Callithrix jacchus: one gene and its partners. The protein of the gene in region 3 interacts with the protein of the main gene of each other region in a pairwise test. Links are inferred from orthologs where the notes say so. Each region holds a gene or a part of one and is shown on either strand. Other genes may lie near its edges.

Region 1 (4,099 bases), on a different chromosome or scaffold from region 3:
GCTTGTCATCAAGATGCATTTTCATAGGAAGCCCACTATTTTTACTCAGATTGTACATATAGACATATAAGTGATTGAAAATAGCCAAGTTATTTCTAAATAAAATTATTCTTGTCAATTCTTACTATTTTTGTTTTGTTGGTTTTGCGGGGGCTGATGAAAATTATGAGGGTCTTCTCTCCTGGCTTCCTTCAGGGTCCTACCCCTTGAACCCTCACCATCAATTCTGTCATTCTTTTGCATGAGATAAGCTATACGTTTCCACTTTCAAGCACATATATACGGATTCAGTACACTCACTGCCTTTCTTTTAAAGAGCTGATTAACTTAAAGCCGATTTAATTTTGCTTAGTTTTTGATCGCCCCGCGCCCCCTTTCCCCAGCCTCTATACACACAAGTAGGTCAGGGTTCTAAAGCCATTTTACAGGCGTAATTGAAGCAGAGGCCACAGAGGGGCAGCGCTGGGTCCGCTCCCGTCATCGGGCTCTGGGGGGCTGCGCAGCTTTGCCTGGACAGACCCCTGGAGCTGCAATTCCTGGGCAGTGTGGGAGGCGTTCGGCTGAAGCTCTTTGTTTCTGCTTTCATGAGCGACTCCTCGGAGAAGACGTGGGAGTTAAGGACTGGGGGCGGCGTGGACGCTGCCCGCCCGCACCCCCTGCCCAGCTGCAGACCGTGCGAATGTGTGTGTGTCTCCAATGGAAAAACCCTACCTAGAACGACTGTCCCCCGGCTCCGCGTCTCTCCCACCTTCCCATCGCTTCTTTATGCTCTTGTTTCCCCACGCTGATCCCGAGGCTGCGGGCGAGGATTCCAGGGAGGGGCCTAGTCCGGGGGACAAACGCTTCAGAGGGGTCCCGAGGTGCGAGCTGGGGAGAGCCAGTGGGTGGGAAGGGGGGCGCTGGCGCCTGGCGGCTGGGGTGGAGGAGTGGCTGGCGCCCTCCCTCCGCGCAGCGCAGCCGCCGAGCGGTCACGTCCGGAGCGGCCCCCGCGCCCTCCTCGCGCCCACCCCGCGTCCATCCCCCCCGCGGACGCGGACTCGCGGCAGGGTGCTAGTGAGCGCGTGTGCGCGTGGGAGAGTGGCGGAAGGGGGCCGGGCTCGCAGCCGCAGCGAACCAAGTCCCCGGGAGCAGAGCCGAGCGCGCCCCCGAGCCGTCACCCGCCGGAGCTGCGAGCGCTGAAGCCATTCATGATTTTGGTGACGTTATTCCAGGAGTGGGCGACGGAGGGCGGGGCCTCTCGGGGCCAAGCTCCGCCCCCTCCCCTATAAATACTGCTTCCCGGGCTCTTTGTGGGGCCAAGAGCTCAGTGGAGAGCTGGGAGTTGTGTCCGCCTCGCCGACACCGCTGGCCGTGGGACTGTCCTGGGAAGGCGGACGGCGAACACCCGGTGCCCGCACTCGGCCACCTGCCGTGCCCGTGTGCTCCCGTGTCATCCTCGCTTGGGACGCAGGGACAGCTTTTAAATCACAGGGGCGTGGGTCAGCCTCCCCTAGGACTTCATGTCTATATATTTCCCCTTTCACTGGTGAGTACGCTGCGGGCGTCCGTCTCGTGGCGGTGACCGCGGGCCCGGGCGCCTGCTTTGTGCCGGCTCCGTGTGCGAGGGCAGCCGGCGGCGCGGGCGCTTGGCGCTAACCGGCCGCCAGAGCCAGTGCAGGAGTCAACGTCAAGGTTGCAAAGGTGGGGGTGGGGGGAGGGGGGTGCTGAGAACATCCAGACAAAGGACGTGAACTCGGAGCCCTCACCTAAGTGACGGCCGGAGGGTTTGTATTGGTTGGTGGGGGAGCCAGGGGTCACGTGTGAATCCCCTCAGTGAAACCCCCTCTGCGGAGGGCTGCAGGAGGCGCGCGCCTCCTGGCGCAGGGGGGCTCCTGCTCTTCCCCGGCCCCTCCTCTTTTTCTTTTTGTTTGCATGCAAGTCTCGGCGTCGAGGCCGGCTGCAGCGGGGCTGAGCTGCTGCAGCCGCGGGGTTTGCAGAGCTCCGGGGGTTGGGGGGCGGGAAACGCTCTCCCTACACGTAACCCCGCTAAAGCCGCAAGCAGCAGGGCACAGGCTGCAGCCTCTCCACCCCTGCCTTCTCCGTAGCCCCTAAAAACCGATGCACCTTGGTGGGGGCCGGGGCAGGGAGGAGCCGCCTTCGCGGTGCTGAGCTGGAAAGAACCCCGGCCGGGCTCGGGGCGTCGGAGTTTTGCCACGGACTGGGGATCGGAGCCGGGAAGGGTGCGGAGAGAGGCAGGCAGGCCCCTGGCTGCTGGGACTTCCTCGCCGGCGGTTTCTTCCTTCCTGCCCTGGGTTAGAAGAGAAGCGGCCGGGGGCGAGCGCTAGCGGCCCCGGAGCGCGCTCTCAGGTGCGGACGTGGGGAGCTCGGCCCCGAGTAGCTGGCAGGCGCTGAGCGAAGGGAAAGCGGGCTCAAACCTCGGCGCGGTCGGGCCTGGCCCAGGAAGCGGAAAGTTCATGCTTCTCGCTTCAACTTTTCGGTCCAGCGCTACAGCCCCGAGCGAGGATAGAGCGCCCCTAAGTCAGGCTCTTCGCCCTATGAGCGGTCTTCTGGCACCTTTCTTTGGGGGTCGACAGCAGCCTTTCCAGGACCCAGGCGGAAACTGCCTTTGCAGGGCCCGGCTCCGGAACCTAAACTTGCACCAAAGAGCCCCATCTTCTCTTAGTCTCCCTGCCCCCATCCCAGCCTAGCAGTGTTTAGAGAGGGGCTAAACTTCCCTCTCTCAGCAGTTCAAGTTCCCCCACACCGACGCTTGTGTGCCCTTCTTGTGGGCGCCCCTCCCTTGCCTCTGCCATAGTGTCCGAGCAGCTTGGTGCCTTATTCCAGGTGAGGATTTGAAGGCTGTTGGAGGCTTTGTGGCTTTGGCTGCTCAAAATGTGCCAAGGTGGGTGTTTGGGCATATTAGGCGTATTATGAGAAATTTAAGGTTAAGATGATTTCATCAATTAGCGCTTTGTAGCTTGCAATGCTTTTGTGGAGACATTAGTCCTTAACTGTGAGGTATGCACTATTAGCATCAGAGTAACAAACAGGACACTTGTGGCTCAGAGAAGTTACAGGACTTGTTCAAGATCAAACAGCTCTTGAGGGGCAGAGCCTAGACTCTATTGCTTCTGTTTCTAAATCCAGCGTCATTTCTTGTCTATGTAGTAACCTTACAGTAAAGAGGAATCTGGTACCCCTGTTTCCTTAGATAGCGTCCCTCAAAAGCCTTCCCCACATTTTTGTTTTAAACCATGTGCACAGGCACGAATGTGAAAGCATTGGGTGCTGTGTCGCGGGTACCTGGATTTGCTGCGAACGTTCAGTGTTATGTGCACGGGATCCCGTATGTGCCCAGGGCTTGTGCAGGGATAATGGAACATTTGTATCCTGCTTAAAGAGTACAAAGCCCTTTCACATGGCAGCCATTGGTGGGCCAGCTTGGCCCCTCTGGAAATTTCCTTTGCAATCAGAGTCGGGTATCCTTAAGGCTTTTAATCCAGGGGATGTTTTTCAAGCTGTGAGCAAGCAGCTGCTATGGCTCGGGCTAGAGAAAGGGGTTGGATGGCAGATGTGAAACTTGCAGAAAAGCTGACCCCTTGGGGCTTTAAGTGGAACATTTTGCCAAAAAGAGCACCAGAGAGACAGACATTTAGGAAGGCCATATGATTGGACTTTGTTTTCCTCCAGTTGACCCTGTTGTTGTAATTAAATGTTATATAATAACATATAGTTTCCCTTTGGAAAATTTATGTGAGGATTATTTTTATTCTTGGTTGGAGAGGTGAAGGGAGATGTGGTTGAATTGGTTTTAATATAGACAGATGGACTCAGCTACCTACTGTTTTTGCTTCTCTAGTTCTGTCATTTAAAAGAACATTCAGGGTCCTTCTGTCCCAGTGGGGACTAGAGTACAGGGGAGGAAGAGGAGGTTTGCCAGAGAGGTCTGCAGACAGAGGTCTGCAGACAATGGGCTTTATCCGCTGGGGCTGAGTCCTGGGGCTGTGGGCTTGCAAGGCGCTTCCTCCGGGTGTGAGCTTGTTTTTCTGCAAGTTCTGTTTTGAACACCTCTCATCCTGTCTCCAGACAGTCCCCTGATCCCACAGCAGCGAATGCATGA
Region 2 (4,035 bases), on a different chromosome or scaffold from region 3:
AAGACACAACCTGGGCTGCAAAGGTTTGTGCACTTAAGAAGCGTGAATAAAGGCTGGGCACCCATGTGGCAGTGATGGGGCCAGCGGTAGGGATGTAGGAGCCTCTTACTCTAGGACAGTGGTTAAGAAATGGGCTGGGTGTGGTGGCTCACGCCTGTAATCCTAGCACTTTAGGAGGCCAAGGCAGGCGGATTGCCTGAGCTCAGGAGTTCAAGACTACCCTGGGCAACATGGCGAAACCCCATCTTTACTAAAATACAAAATAAATAAATAAACATTTAGCAGGATGTGGTGGCATACACCTGTAGTCCCAGCTACTAGGGAAGCTGAGACAGGAGAATCACCTGAACCTGGGAGCAGAGGTTGCAGTGAGCCGAGATTGCACCACTGCACTCCAGCCTAGGCGACAGAGGAGATTCTGTCTCAAAAAAAGAAAGAAAAGAAAAAAGAACAAAAGAAACAGCCAGGGGCCTGGAGAATGAACTGTGCTCTCCACAGTGGCCCTCCCTGGTCCTGCCACATCAGGCCCCTGCCCGCCTTGGCCACCTGGCACAGGCCCTATTTGTCACATGCCATGCTTTAGCTATGTTAACCTGTTTTCAGGTCTTGAAATACACCATGCAGGTTCCTTATCTGTGGGCCCTTCCTGCTTGGAACTTTCCTCCCACCCTGTTCCCAGGCTTCTTCCTCTTCTCCATCCCTGAGGGATGTGCTACCTCCCAGTAGCTTTTCTGAATGGCGCAGGCTGGGGTAGGTCCTCTTCCAGACCTTCCCTAGAACTCTGCTTGGCGCCGAGTGGATGCCCGGCAAATATTCATTGAATAAATAAATGGGTAGATGAATGAAACCCAGGCTCAGCCAAATCACCCTTCTTTACTTATTCTTCCTCAAGCCCACTGAGATTCTCTTCTGTCTGCCATGCCTCGGGGCCTGACTGACCATACCAGTGAACCCGGCGTGCCCCGGCCCTGGCAGCCGGATGGCTGATGCATACAAAGTGGGCATCTCCTTGCCTAGCCGCCTGACTGCCCTGGCGCGGCCGAATCTGAAAGCTAATGACATTATTGTGCAGAGACACAATGTCTGTGAGCATTTGCTGACCCAAGCTTCGGTGGGAGCTTAAGCCGGCATTCTCACCCTGCTTTTCGCAGGAATGCAGCAGTCACTCATCTTGGCACTGACACTTCTGGGGAAGGTATAAATGCCACCTCCCACCGGCCGAGCTTCACGGCACTCGCAGGGACTGGTGTCGCTGGTAAGATCGCCTCTCTTTCGTGTCTCCCCTTCTTTCTCTCATCCTAATCCCTGTCAGAAAGCATGGGAACACCCGCCACTTTCTGACAGGGTGATTTGGGCAGAGACTTTGATGCTGTCAGCCTCAGTTTTATTTTCTGGTAAATGGGGAGAGGGGTTTTAAAAAAGCCTTCTTTGTTGTGTGGATTCAAGAGAAGGTAGGTGAATCATCCGGCACAGTGCCCGGCACATAGTGGGTACTGGGGCAACGTTCTTTATTATTAATATTCAACGGACTACCAGTGTCCTTGTTTTGCCAGCCACTGAGGAGGAGAATGTAGCTGAGAGTTTTGCAAGAATCAAATCAGTGACAGTTCAGCATCGTTTCTAGGTGGGTGAGTCAGTTCTCCACATCTGCAATTACGGGGCGCCCCCTCGTGCCCAGTCTCTGGGAGCACTAGGGGATAGGACATAGCCCCAGGTACGTGAGCGCTCCAGCAGCAGGTGATTTTAATGCCACTGAAGCGAGGTAGCAATGACTGTAATAATGCCACAGTTGCTGTCATTTGCTGCATGCGGAGTCTGGGACCATGGCCAAGTGCTTCCGGTCTGATGCGTTACATAGTCGCATCCTCACAACCTGTTCACAGGTATTATTAGACATCGTGACTGCCCCATGTCACAGAACAGGAAGTTGAGGCATCGGGAGGGGAATTGACCTGCGCAGAGTCTCAAGTTTGGTAGGCAGCAGAGACAGCTCCTGAACTGGACCAAATGAGCTTCTTCAGCCTGCGGACGCTCAGGACTGGGAAGTGGGCTGGTGGGACCTCAGGCCCTCTGATAAGCCCAGGGGGCTGGTTTCTTGTGGGAGAGCAGTAGGTTTGGTTCCCAGGTCACTTAACTGAATTTCCTCCTTCTGGGACACATCCAGTCTTGGCCTTTGACATGGAAGGGGCTTCTGGAAGCTGGGCATTATCTCTGAAGAGGGAGGCCGGGCTTCCTCTCTTACCCCTGGGGAAACACAGGTTGGCCACCCCTCCAGCAGGAAGCGGGAAGAGGCTGACAATTTTCCAGATTTTTCTGATGTTCTCACTAGCTACAGCAGGTCTACCTGGCTGCCTGCCACAGTGCCTGGATTTCTACCATCGCACCCACTTCTTCCCTTTCTTGTAACATTAGTTCTGTAGAGACAATTTCACTAGTGGGGGAGTAAAACCAGTGGCAGAGAAGAGAAATCCAGGTACTGGGATGGGGAGATGAGTCCCAGGGAGAGGTGGGGGAAGGAGCAGGAGCACGGGAAACTTTGCGAGTTCCTAAACTGGGAGCCACCACCACACCAAATACAGGCAATGCATAGGTTTTGTTTGTTTCACACCATTTTCTTAAATTATTTCTGCATAAAGGCAGAAGTTATGGGATTGACAGATCTATATTCTGTGTGGTATCTGTTGTCTGGGGTTGAGTGACGGGGACCCCCTTGGGACCTGATTTAAGCTCTAGTTGATCACAGCCCGTTTTTTGCGTAGACCTCATTTTTCCCTCCTTCTGGAGCTGGCCTGGATACAAATAAATGAAGCTAAGGACAGAAGTTCAAGTAGCTGCTTTCGGACCCCACAGCTCTGAACCGGCTGAAACCAGGGTGGAAAGAAGACTGTTTGGGGCCAGAGAGGAGTAGTCCCCAGGCCCTACAGAGTGAAAAAGCCAATGGCCCCTCCAGGTCCTCAGTGCTGCTTCCCGTGTCTTCCAGGTCATTCCTGCAGAGGACCGTCCACCATGGCCTCGGACCACCAGACCCAGGCGGGCAAGCCACAGTCCCTCAACCCCAAGGTGGGTACCTCTCGGAGGAGGGGCGTGCAATGCTCCTCTCCCAGGCTTAGTCACCCTTCTGTAAAAGGGGCCTGGCATCTTTCTTCATGGGTCCCTCCTCTCCACCCCTGCCCCCTCTCTGGGACTCAGTCTCTCCTACCCACACACTTGGGGCTGATTCTGAAGGTCCCTTCTCAGCCCATAGCCAGCATGCTGGGATTCCCAGCACCAGCTTCCAGCTTTGGAGACTTCAGTTTCTCTCCCTTACCTGCTTTCCCACACCCTTTTGACAATAGGGCTCTCTGAAATTGGAGCAGACCCTCATCCTCAGTCAGAGATGGGATTTGTAGACAGAAATGGGCTGTGAGTCCTCGCTCTGCACCTGCTGTGTGATCCTGGCCAATTATTTGATCTTTCTGAGCCTCAGTTACATCTCTGTAAAGTGGGGAGGGTCAGATTTATTGCATAGGCAAGTTGTAAGAGGCAAAGAAACCAGGCTCAGCTTAACACCCAGCCTGGGGTGTGCATTCACCTAACGCCAGCAAATAATGGCTTCTTTTATTTCTCATCCACCTGCCCTCCCAAGGGTGGCAGGATCTTATCCCAACATCAGAGGCTTGTCACACTCAGTCTGCCCTCAAACCTCTATCGAGGAGCGCCCACCTGGCTGCCCTCCTGTGCTTCGCCGTTTTGGTAGCCCTGGGCACTGGTTCCATCAGGAATGGCCCCTTTGTCTGATTTGGTGCCTCCTGGGCCAGTGAACCCTGAGTGGATGCAGCTCCTCTCCTGCTCACCCCAATCTGTCCCTTATGGGTCTTACTTTACAGAAGAACAGAAAATAAACAAATGAATATATGATTTCCAGTAGTGAGAAGTGCTACAAATAAATGTAAACCAGGGGAAGGAGTTCCTGAGAGTCGGAATGGTTGTGTTAGCTCAGGTGGTCCAGGAGGGCCTCTCTGAGGAGGTGACTTTGAGCAGACACCTGGGTCAAGG
Region 3 (3,967 bases):
ACCCAAGAGAATGAGGAAAGAGGCAGAGAAATAAAAACAGGAAATATTATCACCTGCCCAGAACTCAAGCATCCCGATTTCCCCTTAGGTGAGACCAGATGCCATGACAACATAGGAAGAATAAATAATTCTTTGTTTCAGGTTTGGAGTTAAGATGAAGTTGCCTAGGTAGAGTCATTCCTACCAGTGAGAATCTGAGAAGTCTGAAACAGCCCAATACATCATTGTTTTTCAAACCCAGAGGCATAGACATGTTTAGGGGTATTTCCCAAAGGTTTAGATCAAATTCTGTTGGCTGGGCCTACAGAATTTGGAATCTCATTTAGAATCTGAGTCCCTGAGGAAACCCGGAAATTGTCCTGACTCTTCAGGAATGTCCCAGAATGTTCCAGAACAATAGGACTGCTGCAAAAAAAAAAAAAGAAGAAGAAGAAGAAAAATGACTCCATCCAAGGAGACTATAACCCAAACCTAAATCATATGAGCAAAATGGAAACAGCTCGAGGACGTTACTAAGGACAAACTGTACTAGTTGATGCACAGGTTCTGAGCTATCATTAATTGGTAAGAAACAATTTTAAAGCCCTCTCACAAAGTCATGAGAAGCTGTTCCATTCGTCAGAATTCCCACAAAGGGTAGGTGACCTTTACCCGTATGCCTGCCGACTCTCAAGCATGTAACCAAACAGGCTCTCATTAACTGATTTCCACATAGGCTACAGGGGGACTGAAGACTGAAATTTAGACAAACCAAGTGGTTCAGCATTAAGATGGACTAAAGATGAAACGTGGATTCTTGCACAAGTAAAGAGAAGTCACAACTCAAGAGCCTTCAGGGTACATGTAGTTAATGTAATTATGCAAAGCAACTAGGTGTCTTACAACCCTAACCCTAAATCGGTGGTTCTCAACCTTGACTGTAGATTAGAATCACCTTAAAAAATGCTGATGTCTGGGTCCCATCCCTAAAAATTCTGACTGAATTGGTCTGGGGTATGCCTGAGCATTAGGATTTTTGAAAGTTCCCCTGGTGATTCTAATGTGGCCGAGATTCAGAACCACTGGCCTTGATGGGGCATCAGCATCCCATCTAAGGTGATCAAATAAAACAAAAGCCGCATCTCTGGCCATAACAACAGTCATGACAGCAGTAGGTCTCTCCCTAACTTAGTCTTCCAGACATTGATTTGTAAGCCCTGATCCAGACCGTTATGGCTTGGGACTGGAATGTAGCCAGCCTCCGAAGCTGAGAGCTCTACTGAGACTATTACAGTATGCACTGAATGAATGAGCAGAAAACAAAAACCAAAAACAAGCTACATACCTGGCGCTCTTCATGTTTGCCATGCACCTCAATCACATCTCCCAGCACCTTAACTTTGAGTTCCTCTGGGGAGAAGTGCTTCACATCCAGGTTGACAGAGAACCTGTCCTTCTCCAGGCGCATCTAAAAATAGCAAGGTAAGAGAATGGGGTTGGAAAAAGATGGCAAAAATACTAATTATACTGGTGCTGTCTTACCATTCTGCAGAGTTGCTTTCTGTCCAGGTAATTCATCCTTCTTTTTTCTGCTTAAAGAAAATCGCCTTTTTAAATAAACACGGCTCTCTGCTTCAGGGAGCCACCATAGTGATACCTAAGGCTCGTGGTGATCAGACCTAAACTTTATTTCCAGGGACAGAGAAGAAGACAGATCACCCAGGGGACCAGTCACAAAGATGGGTGCAGGCCTGGCATCTGCTGCCTCTCTGACTCCAATGCCTGGCTTTGTGGTTTGTCTGTGAGACAAAGGCCTTTCTTCTTCTTGCTCAGGTCTCTTTGCCAGTTTTCCACCCACCCAATCTGGAATGTTCTGCTGGTCCTGCTTGTCCTTCCAAAGCCCTTGCCCACTCAGGTCCTGTTTACTCACACTCAAATATTTTTAAACCAGAGTGTTATCTGTAACAGCTTCGGTCAACCTTATTTGTTCACCCTTTTCTCCCACCCTCTCAGGACAAGTGGGGGATCCCAAGACTAGACCTATATTGTTTCCTCATAAGGCTTGGTTGGACCCAGGCCAGTGCTCTGTCACAGCCTTAAGGGACCCAGAAAATCCTAGAAGAAGGAATAGAAAGGCAGAAAATAGTGGTGGTTGGCCCCAGCTCCACCCAGTGGGGATGAACAGCTCAGGATGAGGCAGGGCTCTCTCCTGGCTCTGAAACCTGAGATGGTAAAATTGGTCAAGAGTCTGAGGTGTTAGAAGAGATGAGTAAAGGAGTTCGAAGGCAGCTCTTTCCCTGCAGATCGTTATGAACCAAACTAGAAAGGGGTATCCTGCAGAGAGAAGTTAGGGGACAGAGGATGAACTCGACGGTGCATAGAAAAATGTAATAAATGGGATACAGAGGACCATCAAATAGAAATAGCTGACAGGGGAGGAAGGCACTAGCAACCTCATTTTTCTTCACTTTTGGACACACATGTGCCTAAAATTGTTTAGGCAGGGAAGGAAAGAAAAATGGATGGAGAAGTTTCCAGGATGTTCCAGTAAGGACTCTCCCATCCTGGGAGGGGAAGACTCACCTCTGAGAGTCCAGTGTCAAACCAGCTTGGTGCCCGCAGGAAAGAGGGTGGCCGAAGGTAGAAGGGGCTCAGGGAAGTAGATGTTGGGAAAAGATCAGACTCCAACAGGTGCTCTCCGAAGAACTGGTCAAAGAGGCGGCTGGGGGAGTGGAAAGGAAAGAAGGGGCGGCGGATCCAGGGGTGGTGGATGGCGATGTCCATGGTGGCTAGGTGAGTGTTGGGGGTCAGCTGGCTGGTCAGCTCCTTCAGCTGCAGCTACAGCCAGCCCCTTATATATGCGGTCTTGTGAAGCTTCTGGAATGGTGATGTCAGGGGTTTTATTATCCTAGCTCACTGCCGGTTCATGGAGACTTGTGATCGGGGATTTGGCAGTGTGACACATACCCAGTACTCACTGAGCTAAGAAAAGAGAAACACAAACACGTCTGAGCTGGCCAGTGACTTGTCATGGTCTTGTTTCACTAGCTTTCTGTCCACACCCAATGGGCACCCACCCCCACCCCTGTTCTCTGAAGCTGGGACAGAGTCAGGAATCCCAAGCAGGCATAGGGGGGTGTGCCCCTCCTCCTCCTCTCCAGTCCTGCATGCCAAGGGAATCAGGCCAGCAACTATCTTGGGCCTGGGCAGGGACTGGAATCTTCCTAGGCTGGGCCCCAGGGACATTAACTCTTTGTGAGTCCTTAGAAGAGAGCAGTGATGGTCAACATGTCAGTACCAGCCATCTGCCTCGTGCCCTGGGTTGACCTGGGTTCAGGGGAGGACCCTGACATCTGGGCAGAAAGACCTCACCCCTGAAGAAAGAGCAAAAGACTTCTTGCATCTTTCATCCTATGTGGCTCTCAGAACATTAATTAAATCCAGGAGAGCTTTAGGAATTTATTGGGTGCACAGTGCCTGCCACTGAGGAGGAGGAAATGTGCTGTGGAAACGTGGAAACCGTTCGTGAGGGTCTCAGCAAGGCCTCTTCATGTCCTAGACACCACTAGCTCCCCCTCCCCAGCTTGTTCCCAGCCAGGACCTTCAGCTGTCCTCTCAGACCCCCTGCAACAGCTGAAGTGTTCGGGGGAGGGGACTAGGGGTCCGGGCGGCACTGGTTACACCCTGTTGCTCTCACTGAGGGCCCCCACTCCCCACCCCTCCCCCGCAGAGGCACGGCACTATTTTGGGTGGTGTCGACCCCGCCCCCACCTCCTATTGAGCCCTAGCTCTCCCGGCAGCTGGAGGGGTCGCGCTGCGTCTGTTGGGGCTGCACCTCGGACCAGGGCTTCCGCTGCTTCTGCAGCCATGTCGGGCCGCTCAGTGCCACATGCCCACCCAGCCACCGCCGAGTACGAATTTGCCAACCCGAGTCGCCTGGGTGAGCAGCGCTTTGGAGAAGGTATGGCACAGACGCCACCCCCTTGCC
Region 4 (3,594 bases), on a different chromosome or scaffold from region 3:
GTTGGATTTATTACTTGTTACAGCAAGGGAGAACATGCTCCTTGGGGAAGCGTGGAATGTCTCAGTAAGAGGGCTTAGGAAGAAATTGTTATAGGATTTGCACTTTAGTTGTGTGATTTAGGAAAGGAGCTAAAAAAGCTGGAATTCACTCTAGATCAGATGTTAGCAGAAAGCAGGATTAATTCTGTGATTACTTATCTCAAGAAATCTTACCCGTAGGGAGGGGAGACTAGAACACGGATAAACCTGTGATTCATAAAGAAGTAGCAGTTAGTCATTTTGGCTGAGAGAGTGGGGCTTGGGATTTTGAGAGTGGAGCATTGACTTTGTTTTGGTCTGGGCTTGGACAAAGCTAGGAAGTGGCTTTACTTTATCTCATTTCATCATGGTCTTGGAGTAGTCTTGTCCGAAGTTGTTATGCTGTGAGACTGTTTATGTCTAATAGGGGAATAACATGTCCTCACTGTGAGTGCAAGGCAGCATCCGAGTGTCAGAGGCTGCTCTTTTTTCTCACTTTTTTTTTCCTCGTTAATCAGACTATAGTCCACGAGATAACTCAAGTGGTTATGCTATTTACCATGCAGCTAATCAGTGGGCCTTCCGAGTACAGGCGGCCTGAGTCCAAAGCTCACACTCTTGCCTGTGAAGCTTTATGACCTCCCGCAAGCTTGAAAAAGGGAAAGCGATCTATAAAGCAGTATACGGTACTTCTGAGTCTTGGGTGCAGTGACCACAGAAACCTTTCCCTTGCGTGTTATTACAAATTCACTACCAAGGCCTGATTTCTAGTTACATGACATGCACCCATGAAAGGCAAAGTTAAGAGCTGTCTTAAAGCATTGAGTTAACAAAGTCAAAACTAGCCGAGATAAGAATCTAGATTTATGTCCTGCACTGGACTGCAAAATTGTGTAAAGACAAAAATGTAAGATAGAGCAGTCTCTGCCATCCAGCGAAATGAGTCAGTGCTTGTGGCGTTCTACCTCAACAACCTCTCTGGAATCCTGGAGAGATTCTATAATGACATAGATCTTTCCCAGAAAATTCACAGAGAATAATTGAATCACATAGGGAGAGTCACGAATTTCACGCCGAAAGTGCAGACTGATGCACAGATAAATTTAGAAAACACTAAGAATCCAAATAAAAGCAACGCAGAGCAGTAATGTACAGGACAGCTTTAGAATATGCCAGAGAACAAGGACACAATCTACAGTCATTTCCAGTGAATGCAGCATGTTAAAGGGATGCATAAAATCCCCTTACTGCCGAGGGCCCCTTTTGTGTTATTCTTGCCAACGCAGCAGCCACCCTGCTATATAGGCTGGCTGCGCGGCCACAGGCACCATCACACTGAACTTTGCGGCCCCATCGCACTGAGCTTGCATCATCCGTCTTCACCAGCCATGGGGAAGGTGAGCAGAACACAATTAAATAAAATGAAAAAAACTGCCTTTATATAATACCTGTTAGGAGCAAATAATGTAACTCGGAATGATTCTTCCTTTGCAGATCACCTTCTTCGAAGACAGGGCCTTCCAGGGCCGCAGCTACGAGTGCACTACCGACTGCCCCAACCTGCAGACCTATTTCAGCCGCTGCAACTCCATCCGGGTGGAGAGCGGCTGCTGGATGCTTTATGAGCGCCCCAACTACCAAGGTCACCAGTACTTGCTGCGGCGCGGGGAGTATCCTGACTACCAGCAATGGATGGGCCTCAGCGACTCCATCCGCTCCTGTTGTCTCATCCCCCAGGTGAGTTTTCTAGATTTCGATCCTGCTGCCGGAGTGTCCGCACTGCATTGTCAATGTGGATTAGGCGGAGGGAGGTTTGCATTTAAAAACACCTAAGGGCTGGAAGGACATTGAACACCTGCAGAAGCCAGATAGAGAACACGCACAAAAACAGCAGAGAATATAAGGAAGAACGCACTTAGAGGAAGGATCTGTTTTCCTTTAAATTTTTGCTACCGATAAGTCAATCAAAAATGGCCTGTAACAAATGTAATATACCATAATGTGATATAAAACAAAACTTGCAAACGGGAAGCTGATTGGGCATACAAAGACAGTATTTTTAACAAATTGTTTTGCCTATTGTAAAGGAATTTCTGATGAATGAATTAGATAGGTTCCATTGTGGACTAGTAAGTAAACCTTCACAACTGTATTGTTAATATAGGCTAGCCAAAGGTGTATCCCACTTTGGAAAAGGTAATTTTTCTTAATTTGGAAAATCAGTTAAATTCTCTTTCCAAATGACTATTTAAATTAACTTTACACCAAAGTACAAGATTTTTAAAATTTTACTTTAGTGGTAAATTTATATGTTTATAAATTTGAGAGATAATATTCTTACTAGAAGAATGCTAGTCAAAATAAATTATTTCTATTTTTCCCCCAAATGTAGTTTGAATTAACACAGGTAATTAGGAATCAAGATATTTGAGTTCTTGATGGTTTCCAACTCAGAGTTTGAACCTCTTAAAAATTCCGTCTCCTGAATAAGAATGAATTTCAGGTCCAAAGTGCAGGTCAAATAGAAAATGAGCAGGCCAGTATTTAAGTGCTAGCAGAAGATAGATCCACGCACAGCATCACAGCAATCTGCTACGTTTTACATTGTCTAAATTTTACATGGACAATTCCATGCCCCAACATACCAAGTTCATCTGTTCTTTGGTTGAACAAATTCTAAAAGAGACTCATTTGCTTTTTTCCATCCTGCTTTCTGTGGACTGAGTAGACAGGCTCCCACAGGCTGCGGCTGTATGAGAGAGAAGACCACAAAGGCCTCATGATGGAGCTGAGTGAGGACTGCCCCAGCATCCAGGACCGCTTCCACCTCAGCGAGATCCGTTCCCTCCACGTGCTGGAGGGCTGCTGGGTCCTCTACGAGCTGCCCAACTACCGGGGGCGGCAGTTCCTGCTGAGGCCCCAAGAGTACAGGCGGTGCCAGGACTGGGGGGCCATGGATGCTAAGGCAGGCTCTTTGCGGAAAGTGGTGGATTTATACTAAAATAGCTTGACACTCCCAATTTCCCACTTTGGAACCTAATAAAGTATTTAGTCTGCATTGTTGGCAATTGCTGACTTCTGTCTTTCTTTCATTGTGCAAATCAGTTCACCTTTAAATGCTCCTTGTTAAAAGTTAAGTAGTGAATGGAGATGAAAGCAGCGTCTGTTGGAGAAGAGCTTCAAGGTAGAATGAGTTTGAACAAGGCTCGGAATTTGGGGTGGAAGCAGGGTGTCACCTGCCTGAGAAACAAAAGGCAAGGCAATGCCAGAGAGCTGGCGGAGGCTGGCTGGCGAGAAGAGAGGCATTCAACTAAGCACCTTGAGGAACAAGAGTTCAGAAGTTTCCTTGTGACCCAAAATGTGGGTCAGACAAAGGGTAAAGTCAGATGAGTGGTGAGAGCAAACTTAACTTGGCCAATAGCCTGATTAGACTATATAAAGGATTGTCGTTTTGTTACTCTCAGGCACGGTATTTTATAACTAATGCCAGGGCCACCCTGGCCAATGACATACCTTTGAACAAAGTTAAAGACCATTCGTCTTTGTTTGAAAATGGCTCCTGTCCAGGACTGCAGC

Evidence for each region. The genes of interacting proteins can lie anywhere in the genome.
Region 1: the proteins of CRYAB (region 3) and LBH interact in a two-hybrid assay, tested with the Homo sapiens proteins (2 studies listed by BioGRID, with this or other methods). The link is inferred for Callithrix jacchus from reciprocal best matches to the Homo sapiens genes CRYAB and LBH.
Region 2: the proteins of CRYAB (region 3) and CRYBB2 interact in a two-hybrid assay, tested with the Homo sapiens proteins (2 studies listed by BioGRID and IntAct). The link is inferred for Callithrix jacchus from reciprocal best matches to the Homo sapiens genes CRYAB and CRYBB2.
Region 4: the proteins of CRYAB (region 3) and CRYGC interact in binary tests that used the Homo sapiens proteins (3 or more experiments, as listed by UniProt). The link is inferred for Callithrix jacchus from reciprocal best matches to the Homo sapiens genes CRYAB and CRYGC.

The regions. Positions count from the first base shown.
Region 1 is NC_133515.1:83,282,421-83,286,519, forward strand, and holds the start of LBH (protein LBH), read left to right. Parts: upstream 1-1,291; 5' UTR 1,292-1,499; coding exon 1,500-1,525; intron 1,526-4,099. UniProt on the Homo sapiens protein: Transcriptional activator which may act in mitogen-activated protein kinase signaling pathway.
Region 2 is NC_133502.1:196,163,293-196,167,327, forward strand, and holds the start of CRYBB2 (beta-crystallin B2), read left to right. Parts: upstream 1-1,227; 5' UTR 1,228-1,255; intron 1,256-2,980; 5' UTR 2,981-3,006; coding exon 3,007-3,060; intron 3,061-4,035. UniProt on the Homo sapiens protein: Crystallins are the dominant structural components of the vertebrate eye lens.
Region 3 is NC_133511.1:11,616,951-11,620,917, forward strand, and holds the start of CRYAB (alpha-crystallin B chain), read right to left. Parts: upstream 2,810-3,967; 5' UTR 2,764-2,809; coding exon 2,563-2,763; intron 1,692-2,562; exon of another isoform or gene 1,558-1,691; coding exon of another isoform or gene 1,522-1,557; intron 1,448-1,521; coding exon 1,325-1,447; intron 1-1,324. Other genes in the region: uncharacterized protein LOC118145697, read right to left, coding at 2,904-2,961; HSPB2 (heat shock protein beta-2), read left to right, coding at 3,847-3,940. UniProt on the Homo sapiens protein: May contribute to the transparency and refractive index of the lens. Has chaperone-like activity, preventing aggregation of various proteins under a wide range of stress conditions.
Region 4 is NC_133507.1:129,616,130-129,619,723, reverse strand, and holds CRYGC (gamma-crystallin C), read left to right. Parts: upstream 1-1,171; 5' UTR 1,172-1,229; coding exon 1,230-1,415; intron 1,416-1,512; coding exon 1,513-1,755; intron 1,756-2,746; coding exon 2,747-3,019; 3' UTR 3,020-3,086; downstream 3,087-3,594. UniProt on the Homo sapiens protein: Crystallins are the dominant structural components of the vertebrate eye lens.